Linked DNA regions of Struthio camelus. The protein of the gene in region 3 purifies or fractionates together with the protein of the main gene of each other region. This does not show direct contact. Links are inferred from orthologs where the notes say so. Each region holds a gene or a part of one and is shown on either strand. Other genes may lie near its edges. The genes, in order: PPP2R2A, PPP2R2D and PTPDC1.

Evidence for each region.
Region 1: the proteins of PTPDC1 (region 3) and PPP2R2A purify together in Homo sapiens (affinity purification with mass spectrometry; 4 studies listed by BioGRID and IntAct, counting the BioPlex papers as one, with this or other methods). This does not show direct contact. The link is inferred for Struthio camelus from reciprocal best matches to the Homo sapiens genes PTPDC1 and PPP2R2A.
Region 2: the proteins of PTPDC1 (region 3) and PPP2R2D purify together in Homo sapiens (affinity purification with mass spectrometry; 5 studies listed by BioGRID and IntAct, counting the BioPlex papers as one, with this or other methods). This does not show direct contact. The link is inferred for Struthio camelus from reciprocal best matches to the Homo sapiens genes PTPDC1 and PPP2R2D.

What each region holds. Positions count from the first base shown.
Region 1 is NC_090968.1:4,339,797-4,350,528, reverse strand, and holds the start of PPP2R2A (serine/threonine-protein phosphatase 2A 55 kDa regulatory subunit B alpha isoform), read left to right. Parts: upstream 1-5,886; 5' UTR 5,887-5,901; coding exon 5,902-5,938; intron 5,939-6,611; coding exon 6,612-6,686; intron 6,687-8,952; exon of another isoform or gene 8,953-9,051; coding exon of another isoform or gene 9,052-9,090; intron 9,091-10,732. UniProt on the Homo sapiens protein: Substrate-recognition subunit of protein phosphatase 2A (PP2A) that plays a key role in cell cycle by controlling mitosis entry and exit. Involved in chromosome clustering during late mitosis by mediating dephosphorylation of MKI67.
Region 2 is NC_090948.1:1,114,944-1,125,121, forward strand, and holds the start of PPP2R2D (serine/threonine-protein phosphatase 2A 55 kDa regulatory subunit B delta isoform), read right to left. Parts: upstream 4,987-10,178; 5' UTR 4,841-4,986; coding exon 4,834-4,840; intron 4,615-4,833; coding exon 4,534-4,614; intron 1-4,533. UniProt on the Homo sapiens protein: Substrate-recognition subunit of protein phosphatase 2A (PP2A) that plays a key role in cell cycle by controlling mitosis entry and exit. Involved in chromosome clustering during late mitosis by mediating dephosphorylation of MKI67.
Region 3 is NC_090955.1:18,604,811-18,615,270, forward strand, and holds the start of PTPDC1 (protein tyrosine phosphatase domain-containing protein 1), read left to right. Parts: upstream 1-6,328; 5' UTR 6,329-6,568; coding exon 6,569-6,782; intron 6,783-7,345; coding exon 7,346-7,517; intron 7,518-8,314; coding exon 8,315-8,395; intron 8,396-8,617; coding exon 8,618-8,736; exon of another isoform or gene 8,737-8,825; intron 8,826-9,532; coding exon 9,533-9,670; intron 9,671-10,034; exon of another isoform or gene 10,035-10,409; intron 10,410-10,417; coding exon 10,418-10,460. UniProt on the Homo sapiens protein: May play roles in cilia formation and/or maintenance.

The DNA.
Region 1 (10,732 bases), on a different chromosome or scaffold from region 3:
GCTTAAATAATCCGTTAACCTAATGTTTTGCAAATTCTTTTCAATCATTGTAATTTAGATCTGCTCTAAACAGATAAACTTTGGAGCTGGGTTTAAACCTGTTCTGCAAACTATTACTTTAATGAATACATGAAAATCTTTACAAGCCTAATTAGTTTTTCTGTTTGCTTGCACCAGGCTAAAGTAAGGGTGGTGAAAAAGCCTCGGTTCCTGAAAGATGACATTGGATTTAAGCTCTGCTATTATAAGGGGAAGCCTCAATGAACTTTATGCTTTTGAGATGACATAAGCTACTTGTTTACCTCAATTAGTGAACTCTTTTTCCATAGGTTTGTTCAGTGATGAGTAGTTTAGGGTACTCAGTTACAGAGCCATTAGATGTTATTGCTAAATTATTTTGCTTGGGAAAGGGCTCTCTAGAAAATTGCTGGCCGTTGCACACTGAACTGAAAGTTATGTACCGTCCTTGTCTGGGTTTTCTTTTTTTTTTTTCTTTTACACCAGCGGTAATATTTATACTAAACTGCTCAGTGACTATTCAGGAGAAGATTAAATTTTAGCCCTCTTCTGAGCACTTACTCAATAGTTTAGATACTCAGGACTACTAGAAACTTAAATTTCAGTTTGCCCTTTCCAAATATAAGTCAGTGACTTCAGTGGCCCCTGCTCACTAGGGCACTTTCAAAACATGCTGTTGTAGTACTCAGGTTTAGGAGGGTGAGGCAGGACTGGAAATGCTTAAACCTTTGTTTATACCTCAGTTATGGCTGAATTTCTCTGGTCCCTGGAAAGGGAGATTTTTGGGACGATACAAGTGGCATCTGCTCAAAGTGAACTCGGGTCAAAGGAAGCTTGACTGACAGAAAAAGCAAATGAAAGCTCCATATGTCCGCAGAAGACTTCACGGTATGCTAGTTGGCTCACTGCAAATAACATAAAGCTCCTACCTGCTCAAGGGAGGTCGGCACTGGCGTAACTCACAGAGGTTAGATGGGTTGGGACTTGCACCAAATGCAGTTCACCCTGTGAGTCTGCCTGTCTAAAATTCATTACAGGTTCAGGGTCTGTCTGACCTTTTGTTAAGCATGAGCTTCCATCTGCCAGTATTAAGACATGATTCAGCACTGTTTTGATAATGGTTCTTAATTAAGTGGCTGCATACATAGAGATAATTATGTGAAATTAAGAACAGGGAAACACAGACCAAATACTAGCAAACCTTTTCTAAGTGTAAAGCCTGCTAGGCTGTGAAATGTTCTTTCCCGAAAAGCAATGGAAATCTCTGAGACACTTCAAGCTAGAGAGTATGAAGTGCAGAAGAGTATGCTGTAGGGAATTACATTGCACTGATGTTAACCTTCATGTGGCCTAAGACAGCTCAGCTATTACTAATTTCTAGTGATAATTTTGGTGATAATTACTCCCTTTATTTCTAAACTGAATTGTTGTAATTCATTATAATCTTGTCTAACAGGTCAAATTACTAGGAAACTAAGGCAGATACAAAATGAGTTGCTGATAGAGTTCTTTCTTGGGCCTTAATCGTTTGATCAGTGATTCAACACGAATATATTTTTATTGGCTACCAGTTGCATTTCACATTTTGCTTTAGGTTGTTCTGACTTCTACAGCTCCTGTTTTGCGCTGCTGTGAATGGATCACTCACTAGCCTTTTAACAAATCCATCGGAAATGCTTTTCTGTTATTTTAATCTCCTGGAGATTCTCCTTAGTCTAAGTTGAAGCGTCTATAGAGCAAGAATTAGTGATAAAAACATAATTGGGATAGATAAATGTTTAGTAAAGCTTTGTGCTTTGGTGGTTGTATATAAATTTAACATACTACAGTTACTATCTCCCCAGAGCACCTGAACAAATGCTTAAAATATGGTTAAATCAAAGGGAGATAAGTATGTGCTTACAAACTTTTTAAAATCAGAGCTGCAAAATACACTCTTGCTAATTTGCACTAACCATTAGTACTAGTGTGAATACTTGCATTGTCTGAATTAACAAGCAAGTGAACACCCAGGCAAAGATCGGGACTCCCAAGATGTTTCACTAATTACCATGGCTGTGATTTAATGATAAGTATTTATTATACTTCTATAGCTCAGCTTGTTCAAAACAAAAACCTGAAATGTTGGAATTATGAGCCTTCATTCTGGCTCCATGGTATTAAATCTTTTTTAAGAGGGATTTGGTTCTAATTATAAGGTATATACTAAAGCTTCATTAATTTGCATTACAGAACTAATTGTAGGCTTTTTTTGGCAACAGAAGTTCTTGAAACAATGTTAATTCTACTAGGAGGGCCAAATTCTGGAGTAATAGCACTGAAGGCAGTGGATTAATTTCCCTGTCTGCAAATTTTCCTGCTAAAAGGTTGTGGGACGCTTCTGTTTAGGGCTGAGAAGGATGCTCTGAAGGTATCCTGAAACAAGAAGACTACCAGCTTTTATTTAGAATTTGAGATTGACTGAATTTGGCCAAAAACTTGTAGGATTGAGTGCGTATGGTCCTGAGCTTCGGGAAATGTGCACCTGGCTGATAAGGGAAGGCCATTAACAATGTAGTGATCAAAAAACAGCCTACCTTGATTATGAATATTTTCAAACTTTCAGTGTATTTGCTTTTAGATTTCTAGATTGCTCTCAAAATGGACTAAGCAAAATACTTGGTTTCAGATATTCCCCAATTTAGAGGAGTTGCCATTTTTTTAGACTGTCCCATTATGTTTTGAGTGCTTTTCAAACAATACTGTATCATCATTTCCAAGAACTATTTTATTCACACATGCAGTCCCTTGAGGAACATAGAGATAAAGCTGCATTTGTCCAAAGTGGCCTTTAATCTGGGGCAGTTCTGGGTTTCCGGTATTTACCCTCCGACAGGGGGAGGCTGACTGTATCGGTGTGTTCATACAGAGGCGTTCAGTTCCCACAGCGCTGTGTTTTGCGCTGTACTCGACCAGGAATTGAATGGTCTTGCATTTTAAGAAAAGCCTCTTAGGTGTTTTGAGCTAGAAATGCAAAATCACTGTACGTGATGACTTAGGAAGACCTGTCTGAAGGCACGTTGCGAGTTTGTGGCTGTGCTGGGTTTGCAGTATGAGCTCATGAATCTCAAAGTGAAACCTGGATCAGCAAGCCCTACCCCGCCTGAGAAGAAAGAAAACGTTTGCGCAAACGCCTCTGAAGGGAAACTGATGACTTCCACAAGATCCTAAATAGATTGCACTGAATCAATTCGCTGAGTCCTGCATGTTAACTGCCGCTGAGACTTCAACCGGGACCCGTTGAGCTAAAAAGGCGCCTTCTTCCCTTCGGAGCCAGCAGGAGTTGTGCCAAGCGGGCTCGGCTGGAAGCCTTCCTTTGTAGATCTCGGTGGCTGTCAGCGTGAAAGGTGGATGGAGGCTAAAAATGGCTCCGAAGCACGGCTGGGTGCGCGCAGGGAATAGCAATGAGAGCGACCAAGATGCGCCGGGGTTCTCGAGCGAAACCGGAGACCGAGCGGGCGGACAAAATGGAAAGCGTCCAAGAGGGCGGGAAAGGCGCCTCGAAGAGGTGGTGAGGCCGCGGCGGAGGCCCCGCTGGGTGAGGAAATGTCACGAGAAGGAAGCAAGGGAGTGGATGCGGGGGGGGGGGGGAAGCCGAGCGCTACGAGGGAGATCCAGTGGAAGAGTAAAACGCAGGGCGGCCTGGAAAGCACCCCGGCGAGCAGGTAGGCGACGGCAACCGGGGCCTGCCGGGGCAGCGCCTCCCCCCCGCCGCCGCCGCCGCTGGAGGCCGCGCCGCGCCGCCCTGCCCTGCCCTACGGGGGGCGGCGAGGGACCCGCCGCCCCGCCCCCTCCGGAGCGCCGCCCTCTCTGCCGGGTGACGTCACCCCCAGCTCGGCCGGCGCCATTTTGAAAGTGGAGCCGTTGGGGGGGGAGGGGGGGCCGGAGCGAGGCGCGGAGCGGGGGCAGCCCGAGGAAGCGGAGCCGGCCGCACCCCCCGCCGCCGCCATCCGCCGCCATCCGCCCCCCGCCGCCGCCCCCCGCCCGGCACCGGCGGCGCCGCCGCGTAGCGCCGAGACCGCCCGACCCGCCGCGGCCGCTATCACGAGCCCAACATGGCAGGTAAGGGGAGGCTGCCCCCGCGGGGCACCGGCCCCTGCCGCCGCCGCCGCCGCCGCCGGGCGGGGGGCGCAGGTGAGGCTGCGGCAGCGGCCGGGCTGCCGGCGGCGCCGCCTCCCGCCGCGGCTCGCCCGGTTCCTGGGCGGCTCGGGCTGCGCCTGGCGCCCTGCTCTGCCGCCCCCCGCCGCGGCCGCCGGCTGCCGGCCGGCTCGCTCGCTGCCCTCGCCCCGCGTTCCCAGTCCGCCTCGCCTGCGCGCTCCGGGTTTTGTTTTTTTTTTCCTTCCCCCCTCCACCCTTCTCCTGGGAAATCTGCCTTCCTCCCACCCATCCCTCCTTCCTTTTTCTCCCTTATTGCAGAAAAAAAAAAATTTGCATGGAAGAAGCAAGGTGGAGGGGCTGGGATGGGGGGAGTGGTGTATTTTGAAGTTCAGCGTGCAGCAGGCTTGCAGGCAGGGTGGGTCTTTTGCCATATATATATAAATATATATATATAATAGTTTTTCTGAATCTGTAAGTGCTCTGGTATGTTGCATTTCTTTCCCATGGAGTTAGTGAGGACTGGGCAGAGGCGCTGCTGTGCACGGAAGGGTGTTTCAGGGTGCAGACGTGCTCGTGTCGAGAGTACAATTGCAGCCTTCTGTAGGGCGCAGCTTTCAAATCATCTGCAAATGAGTGCAAAATGGGGCACAGGATGTACTTGGATAATACAAGTCTTCCTCTGTTTTCTTTCTCATTCCTTTCTGTGCTTGTTCCCCGTTTTGCATCCTGCTTTATTTTGCATCCTGGAGTGCTCTTGGTAGGGTAGAAGAGCGTATGCATGAGGTATCTCTTCCGTCTTACTTTTCGTTGTAATTTCCTCCCTTGAAAATGTATTCATCCCCCTCCTCTGCAAATGAGTTGCCTTTTTGGTGCTTTGCATTTGGAGGAGCAAGCATGGGGGCTCTGGCAGGTTGATGCTTTGCCTTGTCCCCCTACACCCATGCCTATGCTCCACCCTCTTTTTTTGTTTTAGTCAAAAAAAATGCAGATTTAAATCAAGTAAATCGTATAAAAAATGAAATTTTGATCTTTTGTAGAAAGAGCAGTGATTTCTCTTGTAAGCTGTCCCCTTTAAATGCTTCCATGGTGTCAGCTGCTAAATGACAAATGAAGAGAGTAGGGAGGGGAAGGAGAATAGGTTGCACAAGTTCAGGGGAATGAGAGAGAAATGTGTGGTATACCTTTCCAACGTATCTGCATAAAGCTTTTTGACATCTCTTGCATAGCTAGATGCTTGTACTTCCCTTCACCTTGTCAGGTTATATAGTTTGCTTGTCTATAATCCTTCAGAAAAACTAAGGCAAGCGAAAAATGCAAGCCACAGTCTGTATTCCAGTGCTTCTCTTGCTCTTCTGTGGCATTTGCTCTTCTGTGGAAAGATTATTTTGTGGCTTCTGATTTCCATGTCTTTTAACACTTTTTTCCCCCTTAGCTTAGCGTAGAAGAGGGAAGAAGTATCTTTTGTGTTCTTTGTTGCCCAAAAGTGATGATAAACTTCTGGATTAATGTGTAAATGCCATCTGTTGCTCAGCCTCTTTGCATTGTGTGTCGAGAAAAAGTTCCATTTTGACAGGCGGTTTCAAAGAGGAAAAAAAAAAAAGGCAAGTCCATTTCAGTCTCTTCCTGTATGTACTCAGCCCAGCAGTGATTTGCTCAGAATGCAATGCAAAAGAAATGGGTGGTGGTTTTTTTTGTGTGTTTTGGTGGCAGGGTTCAAATGAATCGCTGCCTTCCGCAGAGGCAGCAATGTTCCTGAAGTTTTCTCTTCGATCCGTTTTCTATGGTAGTAGAACTTGTTAACATGAGATTGCTCGTTTGCTTTGCTGCTCAATTTGCTGCTTTTTTCCCCTCCTCTTTTAAAGGCTGATAATTACTTTCAGTTCTTCTGTGAAGAGACTTTAAATTGTGGAAATTGTGGTAACTTTTTTCTTTAGCCTTTAGTACATAGGTCCAGTTAAATATTTTTGTTAAAGAAGAAAATGAATAACACAATTGGCTTATATTAAAAGATTAGAATGTTCTGAAAAATGTAGAGCTGTTCTGGCAGTTACTGTTTAAGTTGTTTGTGTTTCTCTCTATAGAGTTCTCCTCTCTAAAGCAGGAAGAAGCTTCGTGTGAAATAGGATGTTGATGCACTTGTGTTTTTAATGCAAAGTTTAAGTTAGCACCAGCAGTGTAGCATAGTTTTGCAAGCTTTCGGTGCATGAGGCTTTTATCGTTCCTACTGCTTATGCTGTTTTTGACAAATGTTGCATTGGCCATTGGCAAGTGACTAATGACAAAAACAATATCTGTAAAGGAAAAAGGTGGGGAGGGGCAATTTGTAATTGTGCCGACAGCACAGCTGAGGAAGTAGGTGTGTACAGTGTTGCCTGAACATTTCAATTGGTAACTAGCAGTGTGTTCTCTGTGTCGCTGCAGGGGTCTCATTTTTTTTTTTTTTGATTGTCTTTTAGGAGCTGGAGGAGGAAATGACATTCAGTGGTGTTTTTCTCAGGTGAAAGGCGCTGTAGATGATGATGTAGCAGAAGGTAAGAACAATTTTTATTACTGCTAATTTTTTTTCTGACTTCCTTATCACTACTCCTTAGGCAGGAAGATTTGAATGCGATCTTGCTAAAATATCTCAGTTCTATTGTGTGTAATTTTAGCAAAGTAGACAGACAGTTAATGTACATTCAGATGCCTTAAGCCAGGATCAAAATCTGATGGTTTGTGAGTATTGTTTTGCACACTTTTAGCAGGGCTGAATTCCAGCTTCCTGAGTATTTTGCTGGAAATGTTTGTTTCCAGAATTATTGATCGAATTTTCCTGTCACTCAGCTTTTGGTTTGTGTTTTTTTCCCAATCTGCAAAATGGGGAATGTGATACTCGCATTCCACAGGGAGGTGTTGTGAGAATTAATTAATGTTTGTACTCTTTGAAGATCTAAGTGTTAGATAAAGATCAAGTAATTTTCCCAATCTTTCTAGCTTCCATTAACCAGGAGAGGATGAAATCTGAATATTTCTGCATGCTTACTCTTTTTAAAAAAAAATAAGGTTCTGTGTCGGAGGAGATGCTGGAAACTGCCGAAAAAGTTTTGTAAGCTAGGGATCCTAATGCTGGCAGTGACAAATGTCATCTTATACTAAGATGGCTGCCTCTGATTGTGACTGCAAAAATTCTACTTGTTTTTATTTATTTATTTTTTTACTTGGCTCAAGCATCATTAGAGGAGTTGTACTTTCCCTCTATATTGCTCTGATGGCTGTGCTAGAGAAAAAAATTTTCTCTGATCTTTCTTTGGGAAAGTCCCACTGACTTCTAAATTTCTTTGGCCGTAAGGACCTGTTTGCACAACATAGCCTCTAAGATCATGAGTTAAAGTTTTTCTTTTGCAAGCAATGGGCTTTGTCACCTGCAATTCTGGAGAGGGTGAGGATTATAGCTATCCTGAATGCTTGTACAGACAAGCGAGATGTATGTTGTATTTGGAAAAGCAGTAGCTAGAGTTCCCATTATTTTCACATTTGACATGTGGTTCAGTTAACTTCTAAAGGCCGAAAACTCAATATAAATGTAAGCGTCTTGTTTTTGTTTATGAGCTTCAGCATGTGGAAAATGATGCACTTTCAAAGACTGTCATTCACAAATTGAAAGATGGATTTTTTTGGAAGCAAGCAAGCTGTAACTTTTTTTTAAGGATGGATTAATCTTAAATTGTTCAAGAAGTATATTTTAAAGCTTGAACTCAAAACTACTATTAAATGTAGTATATATTTTTCCCTGCCAGATTTTAAATTGTCATTTTTATTTTAATTGTATATCAAACTAAGTCCTTAAGTACAAAAATTGAGGAAATTGTGGCCAGTGCTTGCAAATAATTCTTCATTGAAATAGACATGCGACATGTGACATGCGCATAATAGTGATGGGTGTTTTTACATATATGTTTGTGATATAGGGATCTGAAAATCCAGTTGGGAAATGTCTGTCCTGAACACCATTAGCTGTTCTGAAGTATTGTAGATTTGAAAGAAGACTTGCTAGCCTTATGCTTTCTGACACAGTTTAGCATCTGCACTATATATTGGTGGAGTCATAGTGGGTGGAGTTCAGGGAAGCCTTCACTGTGAGTGAATTAAGTAGTTTCAGTTTCAGCAAGCCAGTCGCAGGATGGCTTACAAAAAAGGAAGAATGTCCATTTTTCATCATATGGGAGACGTAGACTTCTGACTTTGCCACCCAAGGAACAAAGAAAAGTCTGATTTCATAATCAGCTGTGATTAACTTAGGATGAGTGCTAAGGCACAACCCCAAAAGCATGACATTTTGCAATTTAAATACCTAGAACCTGGTGTGAGGTCCCTAAAAGGGTGTTATGCTTGGTTGTAATGAATTTGTTGAGCTGGAATTTTCTCCTTTTCCTGTGTGTTTGGCTCCCACAACGCATACTAGAAACTGTTGAGAACCAGCTGTCTAAGTAAAAATGCATCTTTTAGCTTCCATGAGATCCTTAGAATTCCTGTTATGCTTTATAATGTCTCCCTGTAATACTGTTGAAATGGTTGATAAATGTATCAAGCTGAGACTTTTATACTTTTCCTTTTATTAGCTATATTTCTGGTTTTAAGGTTCTCTTTATGGAAATGAAGCCTTTTGTGGGGTTTTGTTTACTTTTTACAAAATTGGAATAGCAGTTATGCATGCTTCTGGTCCTCCTCCTTCAAAATGCCCAAGGACAAGTTCACAGTGGCTCTAAGTCTAGTCTGACCTTTTTTCTCCCTGCCTTTCTGTCTTCTTTCTTGTGGCAGGCACCATGGTGAAAACAAAAGAAAATCCTGCTGTCTGAAACTTACGTGATTCTCTTAACTGCTGTGGTCTGCAAGCTAACAAGTGTGGACTCTAATCCGATGTCTGTGACTACTGAGGATAATGCCAATTTATGTAGGGTAGTACCTAGGGTGTGGATTGGGGGGTTTTAAGTGGTTGGAGAGCTCAAATTAAAAAACTGTGGAATACTGAAACTTGACTAAAAACAAGGTGAAGAAAACAAGGCTGAAAGAGAAGGGAGAGGCATGTTTCATTTTCTGTCTTCCTATTAGTAATACAATGTTGCAATATTTATATTGGAAATTCTTCTTTGCATAAAAACAGTCTCAGTTAAACTCAAGCTATCTTCAGATTTACCACGCTGATTAAGCTTTACGGGTAAACTTTTTCTTCCTCTAAATCTAGCTTATTGGTTTATTTTGTACCTCTGCATAAACTAAACTAGTATATGTCAGCCAAGAAAATGGCATAATTTAATTGCATTAATCAATATAATGTAAAACCAGTAATCTCTCTGCAATGTTGCCTATAATACAGGCCAATGGAGGATAATTCTTTTAATAAAAATAATAGCAACAACAATTTTTAGTGTGGTAAGAATGCTAGTGCCCAGCTGTCAGTAGATTTGAGGTCAGATTTGACCTTGTCACCTTCACGTAATACGTACAACCTACAATTCTTAAGATATTTAGGCTAGAATGGCTGTCTACTAGAAAGATGATATTTGGTGGTTTAGATGGGTGAAGCATAATTTTTTTTCTCCTGGTTTTTCTAAGCACTGTGTGGTAGATGGATGTGATAAAATGTTTCTTTTATTGCTAATGAGGATGGAAGAGAAAGAGCTGTTCCTAAAGCTTGAGAAGATGGCAATGACTTTACATTCAGGGCCTGCCTGTGTCATTCTACTATAGCAAGCTTTGCTAAGGAATATGGATGTGTGAGGAATAAAGAATTGGCCTCTCTGTAGTATAGACAGTTTCTCCTTGGTTGTAAGCTGTGGCCTGGCCCTATCAGGTCACAAAGTTAATCACAGAAATCAAGTTATAAACTGAGTTTTGAGTGTCGGCTTAATATGGTTGGGCTCCTTTATTTTAACTGATGGCAAAAGGTTGTGCTTTTTGTCATGTAGCAGTCCATTGTGTAAGGGCAATGAGGGGTGTGGCATGTACTACCTCTGTTTCTGAAGTGGCTGATTCTTTGCATGCTCAGTAGAAGTTTTCCTCCCTCTTCACCTTCACGTTTGTCTGGCTAGAACCCAATCTTAAAACGTTTCTGTGCTCAACTTGTAGGTTCCATCTACTCTGGAGAGTTCAGAACCAGGACACTAGATTAAACAAGACTTCTCCCGTGGAGAAAACGCAGAAAGTCATTGTCCTTGATAAGTTCAGTGATCAGGGCATAAAAAGCATCAGTAAACAGTTGCTACTTTTTTTCTTTTTTTGTGTCATCATTGTTTCTGTGCAAGTAGGACTTAACTGTTCAGAAATGCTCTAGAGCTGATATTACCATGTTTTCTTAGAAGTTTCCTCTATGGGAGGATGATTACAGAGATTTTTCTACAGTAACTTTGTTATAGGGATTGTTTTGGGTGTGGGGGGGGAGGGGTTGTTTTTTGCTTTTTTGCTGTTATATTCTCTAAGATGTGACAACTCCAATTGGAAACAACCAAGAACTGTGAATTTGAACACTCCCTGAAAGCTAGACACTTGCTTAATGGAACAACTTTGTTCTTCAAAACAAATTAAGTCAAATTTGTTTAAT
Region 2 (10,178 bases), on a different chromosome or scaffold from region 3:
TGAGATTAAAGTGGTCTACTTAGAACATGAAGACTTCTTTCTCCAACTAGAAACCACTATACAACGTGTGCTCAGGTCAAACCTGTTCAAAATATCTTTTGTCCACATTTAGGAAATGTCTTGGTTATTTTTAAAGTCCATCTTATGTAATCACAGATACTAGGTAGAACACCAAATCCAACTCTCAGAGCAGGAAAGAGCAAGGAAGGTATCAGTATCCTTGGTCTCTGAAACAAACAGTGGCTTTCCAGAGTATTAACAAGAGCCCTTTTGGGACTTTCAGCAAAAAAGTGGTAAAGCTGTCAAAGGATCAAGGCAAAAGCACGCTAATAGTTACTCTCACCTAAAATAGCTTCAAAGCTCACTCACCTGCTACCCCATTCTAGTAAGCAGTGAGATTATCAGAAACAAGTAATTATTAAGAATGAGAAGAAATGCAATTCAAATGGCTTAATAAGTATTCCCTCATCAAATTTTTCAGTTCTTACAGGGAAATAAAACAAAGCCCCAAAAACTCAGCAACTTAAAGATAGTAACTAGGTCTATCATTCCTTCCATTCAATCTTAATCAGATGTCAAACAGCTATACCTTTTTTTAGAAGGAAAAAAAGTGAAAACATTAGCTTTGAAAATAACGAGAAAGTGCCCGTTAAACTCCTGAACAATACACGAGAACATTTTTTAAGCCACTGGTTTGTAAAAAGGATTTAACACAAGGGGCATTTTTAAACTTGAGAACAATTGCAGGATTTTAGATCAATGTATTTTTTATCAGACCATAGTTTTCTTTTCTACTTGTATTCTGTGTTTAAATAAACTTTGAGGATGGACTTACTCAGTACTACAATAAGTTTTAAAAGGTGAACTAGAAAATTCGTGGAACGGATGGGAAACAAGGTATCTTTTAGTTCAACAGTGCTGTAAATGCCAGCTACAATTTGGAGATTTCAAAAACTGTAGTTTCTCTTTTAATGATCAGGAAACCAACAACAGCACAACTACTCTTAAAGTCAATTACAACCTTTTTGGTAGAGAAAGAGTTCTTTTCTTATGAAATACCTTACAAAGGTGCATCCTTAAGTTAATGAACAGGATTTCACAGCATCTCTTCTCTACTGCAAAGGAAGAGCACCATGTCCCGCAATTATTCGCAGGACCAGGCTTCAGACTCAGCTGCTTCAAAAAAAATTCAAATATAGCACTTGAAACAAGTACTGCTTTCATCTGGGGAACTTCATTAGCTGAAGTCTTTACCCGTTTTATTTAGTGGGGTAATCACACTCTTAAAACTGTTCACATCTGAGACAGGAAGATATATTTAATCAGTACTGAATTAAAACAGCACTTACAGAAGTTCATCACAAACCAAAAACCCATAAAGATCGTTTGGGGGAAGGTGGAGGGGGGGAGCTGTTTAAAACCAAAACCCAAAGAAACTACAATATCAACAGTAGGAAATCTAAGATCTCCACAGTATACAGCTTCATGTTCTGACAAGAATTTCCAACTTGTCAATAGCACAAGATAATTAGGAAGACTTACAGTGCACGCTATAAAACCAAGAAGCCCCACACAGGGGCAAGTGCGCGTGCACACACACACGTTGTTAATTATGTCCAGAAGTAGTTACAGATTATATGCAGAACATCTGGCCCAGAGGATTTGGGCATATTCGTGCATTAAGTAACGGTAACCGTTTGATATTTTGCTTGCCAACCTTCCCCCACCCACAAAACCAGAACTTTTTTGAACATGTGGACCAAATTGGATAAAACACCGAAATCACAAAACTAACTAGGTCTGAGACAGCATTAAAAAAAAAAAAAAATTGAAGCCTGTACTTAGAATGCTACTTTCTACCAAAATAGGTAATCCAAGAATAACAATCCCAAGTTCCACAGGCTATGAGCATTGTGTTTGTATTCACATGCTTTTATACAAACAATAATTACAACACAAGTTTACTTTTTTTTTTTTTTTTTTTAAAATGAATCACAGAACAGTTGAGGTTGGAAGGGACCTCTGGAAATCATCTAGTCCAACCCCTCTGCACAAGCAAGGTCAAATGAAATTTGTTACCATTTTCAATACCAGTTATTTCATTCAATAACTGTTTTTCCCCCCTAGTCCTGCTCCTTGAATCCAGCCAAAGTTTTCTGCTTTAAAAACTGCATATTTCAATAACTGATACATTTTACTCATCTCTTTAGGTGACCAATCTGGCTATGTCAAACACTGTTCTTCTTTGAAATCTATTCAATGCTGTGTTTAAATAACTAGATTACTGGTTCAATACACAGAAAACACAAAGAAGAGACAAAGTAATTTTCTATATTAACGACCTACTTAGAAAAAATCTTCAGAATGCAGATGGCAGTTGCAAATCTAAGGGCATCAATTTGTCATAGCCATGCTAATATTTCCATCAAAGCAGTACCTCTGAAAAACAATTGCTGAGTATAAAATGTATTCAAGAATAACAGTTCAGAAGGAAGAGACCTTTTTAGTTAAGTTTAGTTAAGTCCAAATGTCAGGCTTCGTAATTTTAACCACTAGATAAACCGTCTATACGAACATTAAACAAAAAGTCTGTATTTAATGCATTTAACAGCTACTTTATGTTGTCATTTTCAGATTTCCTTCCTTTATAGGGCTATTTTTTTTCCCAAATCACAGAAATAAAATTACAAAAATAGCAAGCTGACAGAAAAAGACAGAATTCACAGTGGTTCTAGTCAATATCTCAGTAACAAGGCAAAAATCTAGCAATGGAATCATGTTCTTATTGCATATTGCAGAGTCAAATTCTGGCAATTATGAACATACCAGCTTTGTGTGGTTTCCACATTTAATTCCTATTTCAAGGCAAAAACTAATAGAGGGAAGAAAAGAACAAAAATGGAATATAGACAGCGAGTCACTAAGACTACAACTGATTCTGATATTCCAGAAGGAAAACAAAACCCTAGTACCAATTCTGCAAAACCACACACTGACTGATTACATACATTAGTTGCCCTATGAAGTAAATGGAATTACACGTAATAACCTCACATAATCTGCAGCCCTCACTCCAGAAGAAGTCTAAGAACTCAAGAGTAAATCCCAGAAAAATCGTTGAACACCAGAGGCACTATTTTCCCCATAACTTTTCAAAACATAGAGCTTTCACCTCTTTAACCTAAGAAACTCATCAGTCTCTGTGACTCATCTCTTCAGTAACACAAGTTTCTTTTCTCCGAACAGTGCTGTTACACACTTTGCTAACTGACGGGGTTTAAGACACTGGTGTTTCAAAAAGCAGAAGCTTTCTGACTCTACACAAATTCATGTTGCTCAGCAGTAACCGGGAAGTAAGGTGCTCAGAGAAGTATATTTATTCTAACATGGAGAACCGACTTTTAAGCAATATAGGTGAGAGATATTAAGACAGAAGGACCATTTTGGAAAGTCATAAAAGCCACTTAACTCATTACATAAGCAATCTGGAAACTTCAAAATAATATTACGTCTCAAAATCTATTTAGAAAAAAAAGGGGGGTGGGGGGAAGAAAACAACCACCTCAACTGAACACTAGTTCCTCAAGTGGTTTCCAAGTCTATTCCTCCCATAGCTATTATTTTGAATGGAATGTCAAAACAAGTGGCAGGGAAATGAAAACACTGTCAGAATAATTTCTCTATAGTAGACAGTAAGAGAAAACATTTACCGCATCCAGCAAAAAAATCTACAATCCAAGACGACCACACACAGAGACTATAAGTAACTTAACTTTTTATTGTATTTTATTTTATTGTAAGTAATGTCAGTTAATATAGTAAAAGTCTAAATAAATACCACAGAACGCTGTTTCACACACATATTGTGTAGAAAAGAGTGAAGTATTTCCAACTTGAACAGTTTAAACACGGAAAATTTAGAAAAAAAGGAGAACGTTCTCATCAAACTCCAGCAGAGCTTCACGTGTCAATTCTACACACTACAAAAATACTTCTTCCAAGTAAAACATTTCTTGTTTTCTACTCATGCCAAAGCACGTTGCACTTCGTAGGTTCCAGAGAAACGTTAAGGTGTGCCTGTTTTTCCTACTTAAATACCTTATTGGCAGCTTCCACAGGCTAACGACTAGGAATAAAATCCATTCACAGCTGCCAGAGCCTTTAAACCCTACTTTTTAAGTTAAGCCCACACGACGGAGCCACGCACTCTCTCCTTGCTTCAGAGCGAAACTCGGCAAGCCTGACAGACTCCATTTGTGCGGTCGGTTTCCTCCTCCCCCCCTCCCCCTTTGCAGTTAGTCCCCGTCGTTACTCCTTCTCCCCAGGGACTGCCGGCCGGGAGGAAGCCCCCCCGCCTGCTCGGGGATGCTGCCCTGAGCGGGGCGCGGGCACCAGCTTAGTCACGGCCAGGTGCGCCCCGTCCCGCGAGCCTCGGGCGGGGAGGGCAGCGCGGCTGCCGCTGGGCCGCCCCCCGCCTCGGCTCCGCGGCCCCCCGGCCCAGCCCGGCTCGGCCCGCGGCGGCGCCGCCCTTACCTTCCGCCACGTCCTCGTCGATAGCCCCCTTCACCTGGGAGAAGCACCACTGGAAATCGTTGCCGCCGCCTCCTGCCACCCCTGGGGAAGGGAAAGAGCTCGGTGAAGGGAGCCCGCCGCCCCCAGCCGCGGCCCGGCCCCAGCCCCGGCGCAGGCCGCGCCCCTCAGCCCCGCCGCCCCGGCGCAGGGCCGCGCTGCCCGCGTCCGCGCGGCGCGGCCTGCCGCCCTGCCCTGCCCTGCCCTGCCCGCACCGGCGGCAGCAGCAGCGCGGGCCGGGCGGCGCGGCGCGGCCCTCCTCACCTGCCATGTCGCGCGGTGCCGGTGAGGCGGGGGGCCGCGGGGGGCAGGCGCCGGCCGGGAGCGGGTCGGGGCCGCCGCCGCACGGAGCTGCCGCCGCTGCAGGGCTCGGCGTTTCAAAATGGCGCCCATTGCCGGTCGGCCTGATCCGGTGACGTCATCGCCCGGCTGCCCGCAGGGCGGGGGCGAGCGCGGGGCTGAGGCGGCGGCGGCGGCGGGCGCGGCTCCGTCCCCGACCCCGTCCCCGGCGGCCGTGACGGAAAGCACCCGGCGCTGCCGGGCTGCCCCGGTTCCGGCGGCCGCCGGCAACTCTTGGGGCGATCCTGCTGCTCGTCGCCAGCGCGGCGGCTTGGGGGGGGGGGAGGCGGTTGGAAGCCCCGATGCCTGAGAAGGCGCTTGCGACCGACGGCTGGAAAAATCACGAGTTGCCTCAGAATCGCCGCTCTCCCTCAGAAACGGGATCCTCCCGTCGTGAAATGTGACCTCCGCCGCCCCCCCGCCACGCACCCCCCCCCAACACACAGAGGGGTTCGGGGTTATAAACTACCGTTAGGAATCGCGGCTTTCTGCGGAGGGGCAGGCGCTGCAGGCGGCGCCGAGGTCCTCAGGGCTGGGAAGTAACGTTGTTGTTGAACACGAGAACTTCTGTTTTAAACGCATACATATCATTTCTTTAGGTTCCTCTGCCAGTGAGATGGCAGATCCGTGGCTGGGCGAGGTGAAGGAAGGAGGGCTGAAGCCGCGCTCCGGTGCGCTGGGGAAGGGGCCTACGGACCTGGAAAGCGCCGGTCTCCTAATGAAAAGGGCTATGAAAGGCCGCACCGGAGAGGAGCAGCATCAGCTTCCTTGAACAGGAGGAAAGAAAAGGATAAGGGGGCTTAGGTTGGAAGCAGCTTAGGAAATAAAGGCGTATGTAGGGGTAGGTTTCTGTCACGGCTGAATGGCGGCATGTAGTTTTTGGCCCAGGGGTCGCAGGTTCTTCTAAAGCCGTTGGGTTATGGATGATCCGCTTCGTTAGGGTGAAGCGAGGGCGTTGGGATGGTGGAGGTCAGCTCCTCAGATTGGGAAGAGCCTCCAGAAAACAAAACGGGACGCAGGGAGCGCGTGTCTCTGCCCGCGCAGTGAAGGCGGCCGGCCGCTTGGGAGAACGCCGGGTTGAGCCATGTGCTGGCGCAGCAGCCCCTGAGGTCTGTCCCCGTCTGGCCTTCTGGAGTCAGGTTTGTGATGCTTTCAGCTGTGGTGGTGTCAGCAAACGCATCTGGCCTCTCCTAAAGAGAGTATAACTGTGCGCACTTGATGTGGCAGAACTCTAAAATTCCTGATTTTAGTGAGAATCCCTTTCTGGCTTCTCTTTGAAGATGCGTTCTTCTGTCCTGTAAATAATGAATATTACTGGTGCTCCATTTAGTTTTGGCTTCTTACGTTACCTGTTTTTTCTAAACTAGTATACACACTGAAAGCTGTGAAAATGCAGTTTTTAACCCCTAAAGCCTAAATAGCATGAAGAAATCTAAATTAGTTTGTTATTTTTCCTTAACTCCTGTGTGGACAAGTTTTCCACCTGCAAGGCCCTCAGAAAGTGACTTCAAAGCCTGGACTAATTTTGTGGTTGATAAAGAGACTGATTTGCAAAAAGATATTTTTGCATTCAACTTAAGGGTCTCAGAGTTTATTTGTGGGGGTAGGAAAGTGATCTCTTATGGCAAGTGGCTATTAGTTGCTTTTTGTTTGTGATTAAGTTTCTGGGCTGGAGAGAACTTCTTGGACAAGTTCTGTTCTTATGAAAACTATTTCTTACCTGTTGAAAGTTGACTCTGTTTTCTGACTGCCTTGCACATTCAGCCCATAATGATTATCCAAATACGTTTATAGGTGAAATTAATGTTATATCTGTGTTATAATTTTATGGATACCTGAAACTTTTGCATTAAAAGATGAAGACTGTGGTAGGCACAATATTGTATGAAAACTCTATAGATAAGGAGATGTGGTATATCATTAATGTAAATCCAAATGGTATTAACTTTGTTTAAAGGAACTCAGTCTTGATGCTTTTATTTGTATTACCAATAAAAACATATTTAACTAAAAGTTAAAACTTGTGTATGCTGTGACCTGAATAGATACAGCTCAATCACAGACTAGAGATTTCAAAGCACAAGGGCATTTCAGCTTGAAGTTAACACTGGCTTCATTCCATTATTGAACTGAGAGTGAAAACCTTATGTCACACTGTCGGCTTGAATCTGCTTAAATCTTGATGATAGCTACTTGTCATGATTCAGGTCTGTGACCTGAGCTTCTAGGCATTGTTGAGCAATTTAAAAGCTAATTCAAAAAATCAGTGAAAAATCAGTATTTTTACTGGGACAGTTTATAGCCTATTTTATGTGTCTTATTGTTGTTATGGCGAGCTATAATGGTAAGATGGTTTAAAAAGAAAAGTTGGTTGGATAGCTCTTGTGCCTATGCTTTGGACGTCCTCAACTGCCTTATGAGTGATTGTAGAGAAGATAGAGGACAGATGCTTCTCAGTGGTGCGGAGTCAAAGGACAAAAGTCAACTGATACAAGCTGCGGGAAGGGAAATTCAGATTAGATGCAAGAAAAAAGTTCTTCTCAGGAGGGCAATCTAACACTGGAACCAGGAGCCAGAGAGGTGGTGAAATCCCCATCCTTGGAAAAATTCTTGACTGGGCAAGGCCCTAAGCAGCCAGGTCTAACTTTGAAAGTGACCCTGCTTTAAGCAGGGGCATGGGCTAAATGATCTCCAGAGGTCCCTTCTGACCACAGTGATTCTCAGTGTCTGATATAACGTTGTGTTAATTAGCTTAGTATTTTTGGACGTCTATGCGTTGGAGGTTTTGTGTGCTGATGTATTTTTGTAGAGAACTAGATGCCATAAACTCATGTAAATTAATGAGTATGCATAATTTGAGAGCTAATTTAAATGTTGACATAGGTAAATTTGTTTTGAGGATATCCTACTAATCAGAAGATTGGAATAAAAATAGCTGATAATTTAGTTAGCGTCCTGAAATGGATGCATACGTTTGTTCGTATTCTAATGTGTGGGTTTTATGAACAGGAATTTTTTTAAAAGACTTCGTAGGAATTTAGGAAGATTTAAAAAAAAAGTTAAAAATATCTCTGCAGGATATACCTTTCTTTTTAATTATATTCAAAGAATATATCCCATAAAATCAAGGAACTAGTTAGTTCTCGTAAGCTTTCTAAAGCTTGGAACTCAAATTCAAAAAAGATTCAGCCACTCACGATCCACTGGTTGGTTTGCAGTCTATGAAGTTGTTTAAAATTCTCTGACATTTATGGGAGATGTTCTTAAATGTTACTCTGCTCACTTGCTTCCACCTGAAAATAGATGTATATGTCATGTTTTTTGGTAAAAAGGTGAGGGCTGCATATTACGGGCTGGGGAATGCTTTCCAGAATTACAAAACTCTAGCATTCATCGCTTGTATCAAACTGCTGAAAAATGTTTTCCAGTGCTCAGCTATCTATGTATTGGTATTGGACTATGCACAGGAGCCTCGTGGCAGTGGTTATTATACAAGCGATAGGATGAGAGGAGGGTGTAGTATTTTTATATAATTCTCAGAATTAAAGCACTGTGTGTTTGCATTAGCCATTTTTAGATTAATGGTTTAGCGTAACATATTTAAGAGTTACACTTAGGAGAAAGTGACGCTTTGCTCTTGCCACACTTAGCAAGAAAAGCTACTGACAGAGATGTTTCCAAATGTTTTCTTGAAATAGTATCTTGCCTAGCCAGTTGCTTGATGCCCCCTGACATATGCGGTGTGAAATGTTGTTGCCAACTCATCAGCAGTTGTTCTTCTCATCTCATTTCCCATTATCTGTTTATGATTAAACAAAGCCCTGAGCCCCACTGGGGGTTTGATACTGCTCTTTCATAACTATCGCTCTGAAAATAAAGCATGCTGAAAGTATGTTTGTATTTTCAAAAAATGCAGTGCAAGCCATAGAAATGGCATTTATCATACAGTGAAAGACAGCTGGGTGTCATAAGATATCACACTTCACTAACAGATGCATATTAGGTACTAATTGACATAAAAACATCTGATTATTCTTAGGTGGAAAAAAAAGATTTTTTTGCATAGTTTTTTATCTCTTTTCCAAATTTCAAAGAAAGAAGTTAGTAAACTAGTGAGTTAGTTTTATTTTATTAGCCCTGTATTTAGCCTTATTACCTGCATTTTTTAAAAAAATGCGTTTATCAACACGGCCCATGAAAGTATTCCAAACTTCAGGCTAGTAGTACTTAAACTTCAGATTGAACTTTCTTTAATTACAGGAATTGTCCGCCCTCCTTATCTTTCCCACCACTGCCTGCGTACAGGAATGCCTTCTCTTACCTCTTTCCCAAAACCATGAGCTATACAAACCCTGATGTCTCCCAAATATTATAATTTAGACTATTTTGCTTTACCAAAGAGTCCTTTAATCCAAGCATCACTAAAGCCCCTTTCTCCTCATCCAGCCTTGATGTCCTAAAACTTATAGTTCAACTTTTATCCTGGCTTCCTGCTTTCCCCAAACACGGGTGCTCTAGCCAGCACCGTTGCCCTCCCCAGCTGCTGCCAGCCTGTGCGTCCCGTGCTTGGGCGGAAGTTCCCATGCTGTGTTGCAGCCGCTCCTGCCAGCCTATCCCCCAGCTGATTTGCTTCACTGGCAAGGGGAGCTCTTTCAGGAAGAAGCAGCACCACCTTTTTTTCTCAGTTTTAGTTTGGCTGCTGCAGCACTCTTCCTTTTTATATTTTGGGTAGCTTTTGTAGGAGGGAAGGGATGATGACATATGCTTTGCTCACTGTTTGATGCTGCAAATGCAAAACATGCCCTAGCTAGCCACAACTTCTTGTCCTGCTTACCTTCCAGTATTATTGGCTGCACATGAACTTCACACCTTTTGTGCTGTTCTTGAAAAGGAAAGAATAGGGGAAAAAAGAAAGAGAACTGCAGATACCTTTGCTGCAGGTGCCAGTCATGATGAATGAACCTTGGAAGCCTTAGCTTTAGATAATTAAAAGCAGTGTTTTTTTCCTAAAATAGCGCAGAAAAACCCCACCCCACTTTGATAGCTGAATCACCTCCTGACTGAAGAAAATGTCTGCTCTATTGTGTTTTTCGTGCTGTGATCCAGTAATTGCTTTCTGGCGTTACAGGGGAAAAACTTTAGCTAGACAGAAACAGAATTGTATTATTATAATTTATAATTGGATTCCTTCTGTTTCCTCGCTATTTTTTCTTTTTGGCCTGCCTTATTGCATTTTGCGTTTAGTCTCCTGAAGTTTGATCCATGCTCAT
Region 3 (10,460 bases):
TTTAAAAAGCAAGAAAATAGTAAAATAAACCCCATATTTTATGACAGGTTAAAGCAGTCATCATCATTTGCCTATATTGTATGAATATATTTGAGGTTTAAAATAGCTTTTCTTATACATTGGTATTTTAAAATTGACTGCTTTTCAAAGTTTTTTCATGTTAATACATGAAATTCATCTTTTCAAATGTGCGATCTGCTCTCGTAATTCTAAGTTACCCAAACGCACAAAGATCTAGAGAAAGGGGACCTCACTATTAGTAAGTAGCTCCTGAGAAATGCAGTGAGCAGCTTTACAGGGGATTACTGTTCCTGCTGGCAGCTGAACTGCCACAGTTGGGATCATTCCAGTCTAGAACACAAGCTCTACTGTCTGTTTTGAAAACATGTTCTACAGTAAAAGATAATAGTTACATATATTAAATAACCGTATTAATTGCTAAAGTCGAGTAGGACCAACATCTTGCTATCTCATCACTTTTTGGCTATATAATTCTTTTTCTGGCAGCTAAAATATTTGATTTTATTCCTTGCTCTCATTTCATTCTGGAGCAAAGATCCTGCCCAGTGACTGGAAGCCAGGAAGACTTTCCAGATCGTGAGATACTGAAAAGGCATCTTCTTTTCTGCAAGGCAGACTGACGCCTAAGCCAGTTCTGGGCTGTGGAGCAGTTTCTAACGTGGTCCTTCCTTCTACCAGACAGTAGAGGAAAGGCACTACCAGCACCTAATCCTATCCCACTGCTGGTCTGCTCCGTCCATACTGCAGCCTGACCACGTGAATCAGTTGCGCAGCCCTCCTGTATGCTCTTTCTGCGTAAATCTGCACCACAGTTAGCTGCAGAGCCTGCTTCACTGTGGACCACCGATATCCCGGTTGGCCTACTTGCTGCTGCATGGCTGAGTAGTAACTCAGCCTTTACCTGTGCAAAGAGAAGTGCTTTTATTCCAGAGGAAATCATAACATGGACAAGAGGCTACTTTGCTCCTGGAAAGAAAGTGGATGCACAAACTGAATCTCACCTGTGGTAGCACAGCATGACTATACTAGTTTCTCTGCAAGAAAGCCACCTCTCTGCATGTATGAAAGAGTGAGTAGGAGCTGACAACTACTCATCTGTTACCCAATGCAACATGTGAATCAGTGGTGCAACTAATGGGGGACAAAACCAGTATATCCCTTCTGTTAGGAACTGGTTTGCTCAAGCAAAAAAAAAGCCCTAAAAATACATACAGAGGGAAAATGAAACAAATACAAAAACACACCGGGGGGGGGGAAATAAACCTCTTGAAATATCCCCTTAGTGCTTGATACCACGATTTCAAGAGACCCTTTTTTCCTGGCACAACGTGATACTGCTGTTCACTTCAATCAGCCAATAACACAGATATTATTTTTACCGTGTGTTAGTTACACTACCTGTGTTGCTTATGCAGGCTTAATGACATTGCTTCCTGTGATAAAATACAAAGACGGAACATCACCTAAAAGACTGTTCCCTTTTTTTAAATTGTGAAACAAAGATTAAAAGAGCAGCTTCTTTGCTGTCATGGCAATAGAAATACATGTCACACAGATAACAGTGGATCTGATTAAGGTGATAAGACTGCTGCAAGGTATGTGACTCAATTCCCTCAGAGAGCTAATAAGGAACGTGACCTAGAATAACATTCCAGGCTTCTTGCTTTTTTTCTGTAGCATCTGAGAGTATCAAATGTTAACGTGATGAACAAAACGCTGAGGAGGATCTTTTAAAAACTAAAATATATGGTACACTGAAGAAATAGGAGAGAGTTGTTTCTTTTAATCAAGCACTAGTTTTAATTTTAATACTGTTTTGATCTGTATAGAAATGTAAATACCCCTCTCCAGTAACATCAACACTGAAAGTACTTCCTGTCTCAAATTATAGTATTTTGCTTCTGTCTAAGGGAGTGCAACATTATTCTATAAAGTGGTTGGTCACAATCTCTTTTTTTTCCCAGAAATAAATACAAGGGAACATTGCTCACGTTGTGGAATTCAAAATACCTGTTAGCCAGTAAATTTACAGAACTGAAAGGCACACAGACAAAATATTTAAGTCAGCTGGAACTGTACTAGTTGTATAGAAAAGGAAGTATGGATTTGCTATATCTTCTGAATAAGTTTGAGGAGAGCCTAATTCATTAAAAAGCAAATAAACACATTGTTTGCCTCTGCCATTTGGAACAATCTTGTTTGTATTTTATAATACTACAGACATTATCGTCTGCATTAATTTGCATCTTTTCCCTTTTCAGTTAAGAGATCTTGTCAACCTGAATTCTGGTTAATAAAACCAAAAAAGAATAAAATAAAAGGGAAAATAGTTTTGGATGAGAGAAGTACTCTGACATTTTGTCTCTTTTTTTTATATCACTTTCATGTGGGCAGTACAAATAAATAGGAAAACTAAACAGGCATACAGAAACATCTGTTAAATAAATAACTGACAAAAGATGTTTGCTTTGATTTACTCACTTTCAATTATCCTTATTTTATCAGTAAGTTGTAACAACACCAGGCAATGCTGTTGCAGCAGGCAACATTTTTGAATGAAGACTTTCTAGAATACAGTATTCATTCTGACAGTGTGTCCTGTAATGTACATCTGGGAGTGTTAAGTTATCTAAATCAAATTTATGTTCTTTATTCAGTATTCCAAGAAGTGCATCATACTTCATAACTCTCAAACTTTGTTAAAAAAATGTTGGTAGTTTGTAAAGTCAAATACTGCTATGTTAGAAATGCCAGATTTATAGCTTGAGTTGAAGCTTTAATTATGGCACGTTGTAGGGAAAGATCCTGGACAGAGACTTTTCAGGATATATATATACCCACATATGTATATGTGGGTATATATATATATATATATATATATGAGAGAGAGAGTGAGTGTGCTGCTGCCTATTAAGAGATTGACTTTAAAAGTGCAGAGTTGGGTGGCCAAATAGCCGAGTAGAAAACATTCCAGATACTCTTTAATCTTCATTAAGATTCATCATAATTAGTATTCTTAAGAATATACATATTTACATTAGAAATGCATTTCTTGGCATCACTGAGGTTTCAAAAGGCCACTTGCTTTCACAAACAATAACACTAGCTGCTATTCTCATTGTTTTGAGGCCACTCTATACCGATACAGCAGCGTTAAAGGGTCATTTATATGTATGTTATTCTGTCCCTAGCATAAAGCATCTTGGAAAGGACAGAGCTAAGTGTCTTTGATGTAAATGGGAATCAAGTCCACTAGCACTCTTGGAAGAATAATCTCAATTTAATCAAGTATATGGTCAGATAATGTAATATCTGAATAAATTAAATTCTATTTGAATCCATTTAAAATTATTTTTAAAAACATTACACAGAATTATAGATAAAAAAGTGGATATTGAACAACAAGCAGTTATCTCTTTTTAACGCAGCTTAGGATTGTTATACCACCTCATCCCCATAAACATTTTTTAAGCAGATCTCCTGTCCTTTAAAGCACTATGCTGCTGAATCCTAATAATGTTTTCATAGAATTTGGGATCTGAGGTTTTTCTATGTAGAAAAGTTTTACTAGTTATGCTATAGTGTAGACATTTTAGTTTGGTATAAGGATGCTTTTTTTTTTTTTTTCTTTTTTTAATAATTGCAACTATTTTTCTGTTAATGTAAGGTAAACCAAATACTGGGTAAGAATTTCCACACAAGATCCATATAAATGGTTTATTTAAACATCACTGTGATTGATTAATGTGTTCACCCTTACTGCTCTGCTTTAGCTTTCTGTTTGTCAGGTATAAGCTCTTAAGGGCAGGACTTACCTCGTATTAGAAATCACATTAAAACATGAGAAGAACTGTTTTCTGCTTAGAAAAGGTCTTGTGTTCAGATTTCTTATTACAGGTGGATCTTCACATATGTGCTTTCAAACTTGTCAACATACTAAAAACAAAGAGTGGAAGAAAGAGAATAGAGAAGGCATATTACTTGGGGGTGGTCTACTTGGAAATTATAAACTAAAATTATAAATGGTCTGATCTAGAAACAGTGCTGCCATAATGATATCGTCAGTGCCATCAAAACTGCCCTTTGCAGGATTTCAGTTCAAGATTTCCAGTCATATGTTTACCTTGAAAAATTTGAGAAAAATCAAGGTGATGTTATCTTAAATATTTTAAGTTGAGTGACTCCCGTCCATACAAAGCACAAATTATAAAGGCTATGCTCAGCTGTACTCTAGAGCTAGAAATACACAATGTGCTAAACTTCTATTGTGCTAGGACAGACTGCCAACCTGTTTTAAGATGACTGTACACCAAAAAATAACCCCCAAAACCAGTCCCTGTCTGACTGCCCAAAGAGCTTTGGACAGTTCTACCATCAGTGACAGGCACTTAGCTTTATTTTGCATTTTTGAACTTCTGCTGTAGATTTACAGTAAACATATTACTGTTTCAACAGGTACTGCAATGGCTGCAGGAGTTTTGCTGCAAAATGAACTACCGTATTCTTCATTGCTAGAGAGCAGTGTGTATCTTGCAAATATGAATTCAGGTAATCGTTTTGTCTAATATGCTATTCATAAAAAGTGCTTAGAGAAATTCTGGAAAAAATTACATTTCCATAGATAATTAAAAATAGGTATACTACTGCCAAATTAAAAGCACAAAATGTCTATGACATAAAAATGAAAACTCCATTACTTAATCATCACCACAATGTGTTAACACGCTGATCTTTTCTGTAGCTTTCATATTGTCAGGTATAACCTCTTAATCGAAAGAACTATGTCATTTTCATGTTCAGAAACTGCCTAGCTCTCCGAAGGTACAAACGAACGTTCGACAACAACAACAAAATCAAAGAAAACATTTAAACTCTTATGGGATATAATTATGACTTACTATTTTGAGTGAGTACGTGCAAATCCTACTAGATTCAATGGAAAAATAAAGGTGTGCAGCATTTTATCTTGTTCATTTCTGTCTCCACTACCATTCGGAGAAAACTCTGGAAAGAGAAAGAAATAAATCTAAGAAAGCAATGTAATTAGTTAAAAACCATTTTTCATATTCGCTGGATATAGGAAGCCCTTGAAACAGCCTTTTTCATCTTCTTCCTTCCTCTTCCACCACCCAACTCGTAACATAAAAACCCATTTAAATATTCCCTCAGCTCTTGATATCATCATTAGTGTTGAATTAGAATAGTCAGAATTTTGAGACAACAGCTAACAGAATCTCCTTTAACGTTTCCTTTTCTCATGTGACATCACTACTGGTATTTCAGGCCTAGGATCTACAGAAAGACCTTACTGTATCTTCTTAGTAGCAGGGATGCAGTATGCAAAATTCAGTCACGTGAATTCTGTTCAGTACCTGGAAGAAACAGTAGCTTTTTGCCTGATGGTTTTTTTTTTTTTTTAAATCAGAAAAGAGCTTTCTATTACAATGCAAATTCCTCTTAAGAGTTACTGACTGCTTTCACAGTACAAACATAAATGTCAAACGCAGACTCAGGATAGTATATATGCTTAAGAAAATGCAATGGGATTAATTTGCTTTTTGAGCAAAGTTAGATTTTTTCTTTTCCCTAGTCTCAGAATCTTTAACACACAGTCTAATGTACAGACAAGGGATGACAAAGTTTTTTTTAACATTGCTATAGTCTGTTCTCCATATAATTGCCAGCATGAGAATTCTGTGCTTTTGAGAACCTTGCAATCTTTCCGGCCAGCTCATTCTCCTTCTTAGCACGCTGGAAGCCAAGTGGGAGGAAAATTACCACCTAATATCTACCTTCAAAAGCTTAAAGCACTCAACTGATACATCTTCCCCTCCCCATAGTCTGCTTTATCTCAGTCTGTAGGGCTAACAGCTTTGGTTAATAAAAAAAAGCTGGGCCCTGAAAAAAGGAAGCCTTTTGTTTTGAATAACAAATTGTGTTTTGTTAGAAGATATGAATGGTCCAGAGTGAACAGTCTACAATTCATCATGTACTGAACCATTTTAGTAGGAACACACTAATCCCAATCATTACAGAGCTAATGATGCATTTTGGAGCAACTAAGTGGAGGGAGAGAGGTGGTTGTGGAATGTTAAACCAAAAGGTGGGGGAGTATAATGTTCCTACTTACGGATTTCTCAGAAAGCAGTGTCCAACTACATTTTGATTGTTCTTTTGAATATAGTATTTTGTGTCTTAGCAAATTCTGAATGTGTGTTATTTACATACTCACATTGTTTACAGAAAATGTTGTGGTTGTTCCCAGACCATTTTCAAAATTATCTACTTGAAATGCAACTATTTGCACCAGCAGCGGAACAGTTTGTCCCAAACAGAATCAGTTCATATAGCATTTAGCTGCCACAGGGATAGCTGGCATCAGTGGTTCATTGTGTGTTTCTATGGAGACAGCTCAGCCTATCCTGAAGAGCTGCCAGATCATACAGAACGATGCACAGCTCTGTGCAACTTCAGCCCTGAGCAACTTGGATTTTGTATCAGAGCGTCTTTGGCAGCCCTTCTGAACTGTAGCTGGTGTTGGGCAGTCATGCAGGGCTCACCTCGGAGGTGGTCAGCAGCGAGTATTTTTAGCAGCTTTTTCCAGGGTCGGAGGCATTCTTCCTCTGATCCCCTTCTTCGCGTTATCCAGAGGCGCCGGAGCTCAGTTGTAGAGGTACTCTCATCATCAACTCACCGGGTTATGGTGGCCGTATCATCTCTGAGCCCCGAAGAGCTGAATGCAACTTTTCCTGAAAAAAAAAGTAAAGTACTTTTCATTAAGACTGTAGGCAGTTCTGTTCTCCTGTGTGTGTTAAATTCATATACCTTTGTTCTGTCAACTATATTTTATATATATGCAGAAAATACAGATTTTAAAATATTTTTTGCTCTATTTTATATTAAATTGTGTTCACTGATTTTTTTATTCAGGGTTTAATATATGCTCTTCACTCTAACAGCTCAGCTATAGAGAACAGATAAAATAAAAGCTAGTGGTGTATGTGTGACGGTGTGCTAAGTATTTTTGTTTTCAGACAAACGATGATCATGACATTTGTTCTGTTGCAAAGGATATCACATACCTGTAAGTCCACCAGAAGATAGCAAAGTTACTGTGAGAAGAAACAACTTCTGCAGTAATTCAAACATTTTTTCCCTAAGAGTCCTTACTTTAAGTCTGTATTGAAAAATGAATCTTAAATATGTATTCCATATCTATTTATGCCATTTTTAATTTCATCAGTTTAGGATTTAACTGATAACTTCTAAGGTGGAGGTGAATTTGTAAGCTTTCCTACCAAATCTGTTTTTGCTTGTGTTCTAGGAAGTTCGAGGCGTCCAACAGCAAAATACACTAAAGTAGGCGAGCGCCTTCGCCACGTCATTCCTGGTCATATGCAGTGTTCAATGGCATGCGGCGGGCGCGCTTGCAAGTATGAAAATCCAGCTCGATGGAGTGACCAAGAGCAAGCCATTAAAGGGCTCTACTCTTCTTGGTAATATGCAGCATTTACTTTCACTACATGTAACTGCATCCATTATATTTATTAAAAGAGAAAATTCAATTAAAATAAGCTTCTACTTACTGCTTTTAAACTCAAATATTGCTAAGAAGTATAAAACAGAACGATAGGTTGATTCAGAATTACCACTTAGCAGTAAACTATAATGGCCATTTGTACGTAAGCCTGTAAAGTCAATGAACGACTTCTACTTACTTCAGTGAGTTTGGTTCCGATCCAAAAGAATACCTATCTATGATGAATTAAAAAAAATACATTTTGGGTTATAGATAATTCTTCCTAAGAATTAAAATACAAATGAATTAAAATTTGTTCATAACAGAACTCAAAAGTGAAAACATTATTGAAGATGAAATAATGTAAGGTATTTATTCAACAGAAGCACACTCATAATTAGTAATGCTCACATGAAATGCATCTTTAAATTATTACTGATTTTGGTAACAGTGGCTACTATTCAGAAGCATACGAATCTTAAAGGGTCAAACATAGGTCAGAGTCCAGGTTTCTGAGGCGTTCTCTAATGTGTTAATCAGCCTGGATTTGAAAGTTTCCAGTAATGGTCTTTTGATATGTACTAGCTGTATCCGCCGAACGGGATTTATCACTAACACTATATATGATAGTAGAATTTTTGGAAAATAAATTTTCTACTTAATCAGCAAGGTGTTTCTGTCTGTCTTGAAAATGAAATGGTGTTCTTATTTTGGTAAACTCATACCCAAGAAATTATTATAATGACATTATTGTCTACCTTTTTAATTTCTCAGGATAACAGATAACGTATTGGCTATGGCTCGACCCTCAACAGAATTAATTGAAAAGTACAACATTATCGAACAATTTGAAAGGTAAAAAATGTAGTCATTATTTACTGTAGTTATTACTCATGTAATTCCTGATCCATTTTCTCTTTCGACGTAGATTTGGATTGTTGGTAAAGATCCTTTCATTTTAACAATACACAGGTAAAGATTTATTCTCCTCTAAGAATAAATGTGTGTTTCAGAAAATAAAGGATAACGAGATTTTGGCTGCATATAATACTTTGACTCATCTGTTCCTTGCTTAAGATGTGGCATAAAAACCATAATTAACCTTCAGCGTCCTGGGGAGCATGCAAGCTGTGGGAATCCACTGGAACAAGAAAGTGGCTTCACCTACCTTCCTGAAGCTTTCATGGAGGCTGGAAGTAAGTTCACTCCCGCTGCTGTTCCTCATTAACTATTGATTTTGGCACTTGGAGGTATTTTCACTTGAATTCTTGTGTGCTAAAAGAAGCTGTACAAGAAATGTTGCACAAAAAAGGATATAAAGATGAAACTTGGCAAATATAATCGAGAGTGAATAACACATTAGCCAAGATCGTGTATCAGTAGAGTGAGAAGGAGGGTTAATATTCAGGTATTTGGAATAAAGAAAGGATGACAGCGGGTTAATTTTTTTTTCTTCTTAGTTCCCAAATATATAAAATATTAACTGTACTTCAGATTCTGGTACAACGCATATTTTCTTATTAGACTATAAAATGGTCGTTCCTTTGATTTGAGAACATTTGTATTGAAAATATTTTTGTATTTTCATATTGCAGTGAGATGAGAAGAATTGCCTCTGTCTAAGAAACAGCTTTTAACTGAAAAAGTGCTTTTATTGCTTAAAAAAAAATAAAAATTATGCTCTAGCTAGATATAGCTCAGTAATTTTAGTATGAATCACTCTTTTTTTTTTTTTTACACCATTTACATTCCAGCTGAACTGTAGTTTGACAAATCTTTACTATTTTTATGTATTTATCAAATTTTCATAGCAAGAGTACTTTGAAACGTGAAACTAATCTCTTTCAAACAGTATGTAGTCAGATTATTCTAAGATGCTTTATGCTGTTTTAGTATTATCATTAATTATTGGCCATCTCTGCTCTCCATATAATAGTAAAAATTTCACATTTGGTACAACTGAAAATAATTCTCTCTCTCTCTTTATTTTAGTCTATTTTTATAATTTTGGATGGAAGGATTACGGAGTGGCATCTCTCACAACTATACTTGATATGGTAAAAGTAATGGCTTTTGCCTTACAGGAAGGAAGGGTAGCTGTTCACTGTCATGCAGGACTTGGTCGGACAGGTATGTATCCTCTACTCCAAAAGTCAACAGCTTTCAATCAAACAGTATTTTTAAAGATGCAAAAAAGTCTCTGGTTGTATATTATTATTCATTTTTTTAAATTCTGGATCACTGGAAGATGTACATCTATAGGGTGGTTAAAAAAGCTAAACAAATGTCTATGCGAAAATAATCCATCACAGGCAGGAAGAGATTGGTTTTAGTAGACCAAACCCAACAACCTATAAAGTTGGAAAATCTTTGAATCTATGTAATAATTCCCTGTTGTATTCAAATGGGACAGCTTCCTTTTGATGGGAAAAACTCACTTAGTACACTTTCATTTTTGAATATACTTATTACACGTTTCCCCTTACAAACCTACCACTGATTGTTAGATCAAGTAGATTTTTGTGAAGCAGCTGAAATTTCATTTACTTCTGGCTCTTTCAAGACCTATCTGGTTGCCCGAGTCCTTCCTGTAGAAGCCAGCATTGCTTCTGATTTCGTGTTGGTGTTCAAAAATGCTGCAACTGCTAGAGATGCTGTGGTAAGAAATTAGCTCTTGTTAAAAGTGTAGTGAGAACGGCTTTACTGTCTTGCAGACGAACAAATGCAACTATACTTACATAACAACAGCATCACATAACAAAGGGTGTAAAACCTGTTATCTTTACCTGTATTCATTTTTGTCCTGTAGTAGTTCTTTACTGAATATTCACTGTAATCTGATAGTTCTTCAGCTAATAGCTGTCTTATATTTTCCAGGTGTTCTAATAGCCTGCTACTTAGTTTTCGCAACAAGAATGAC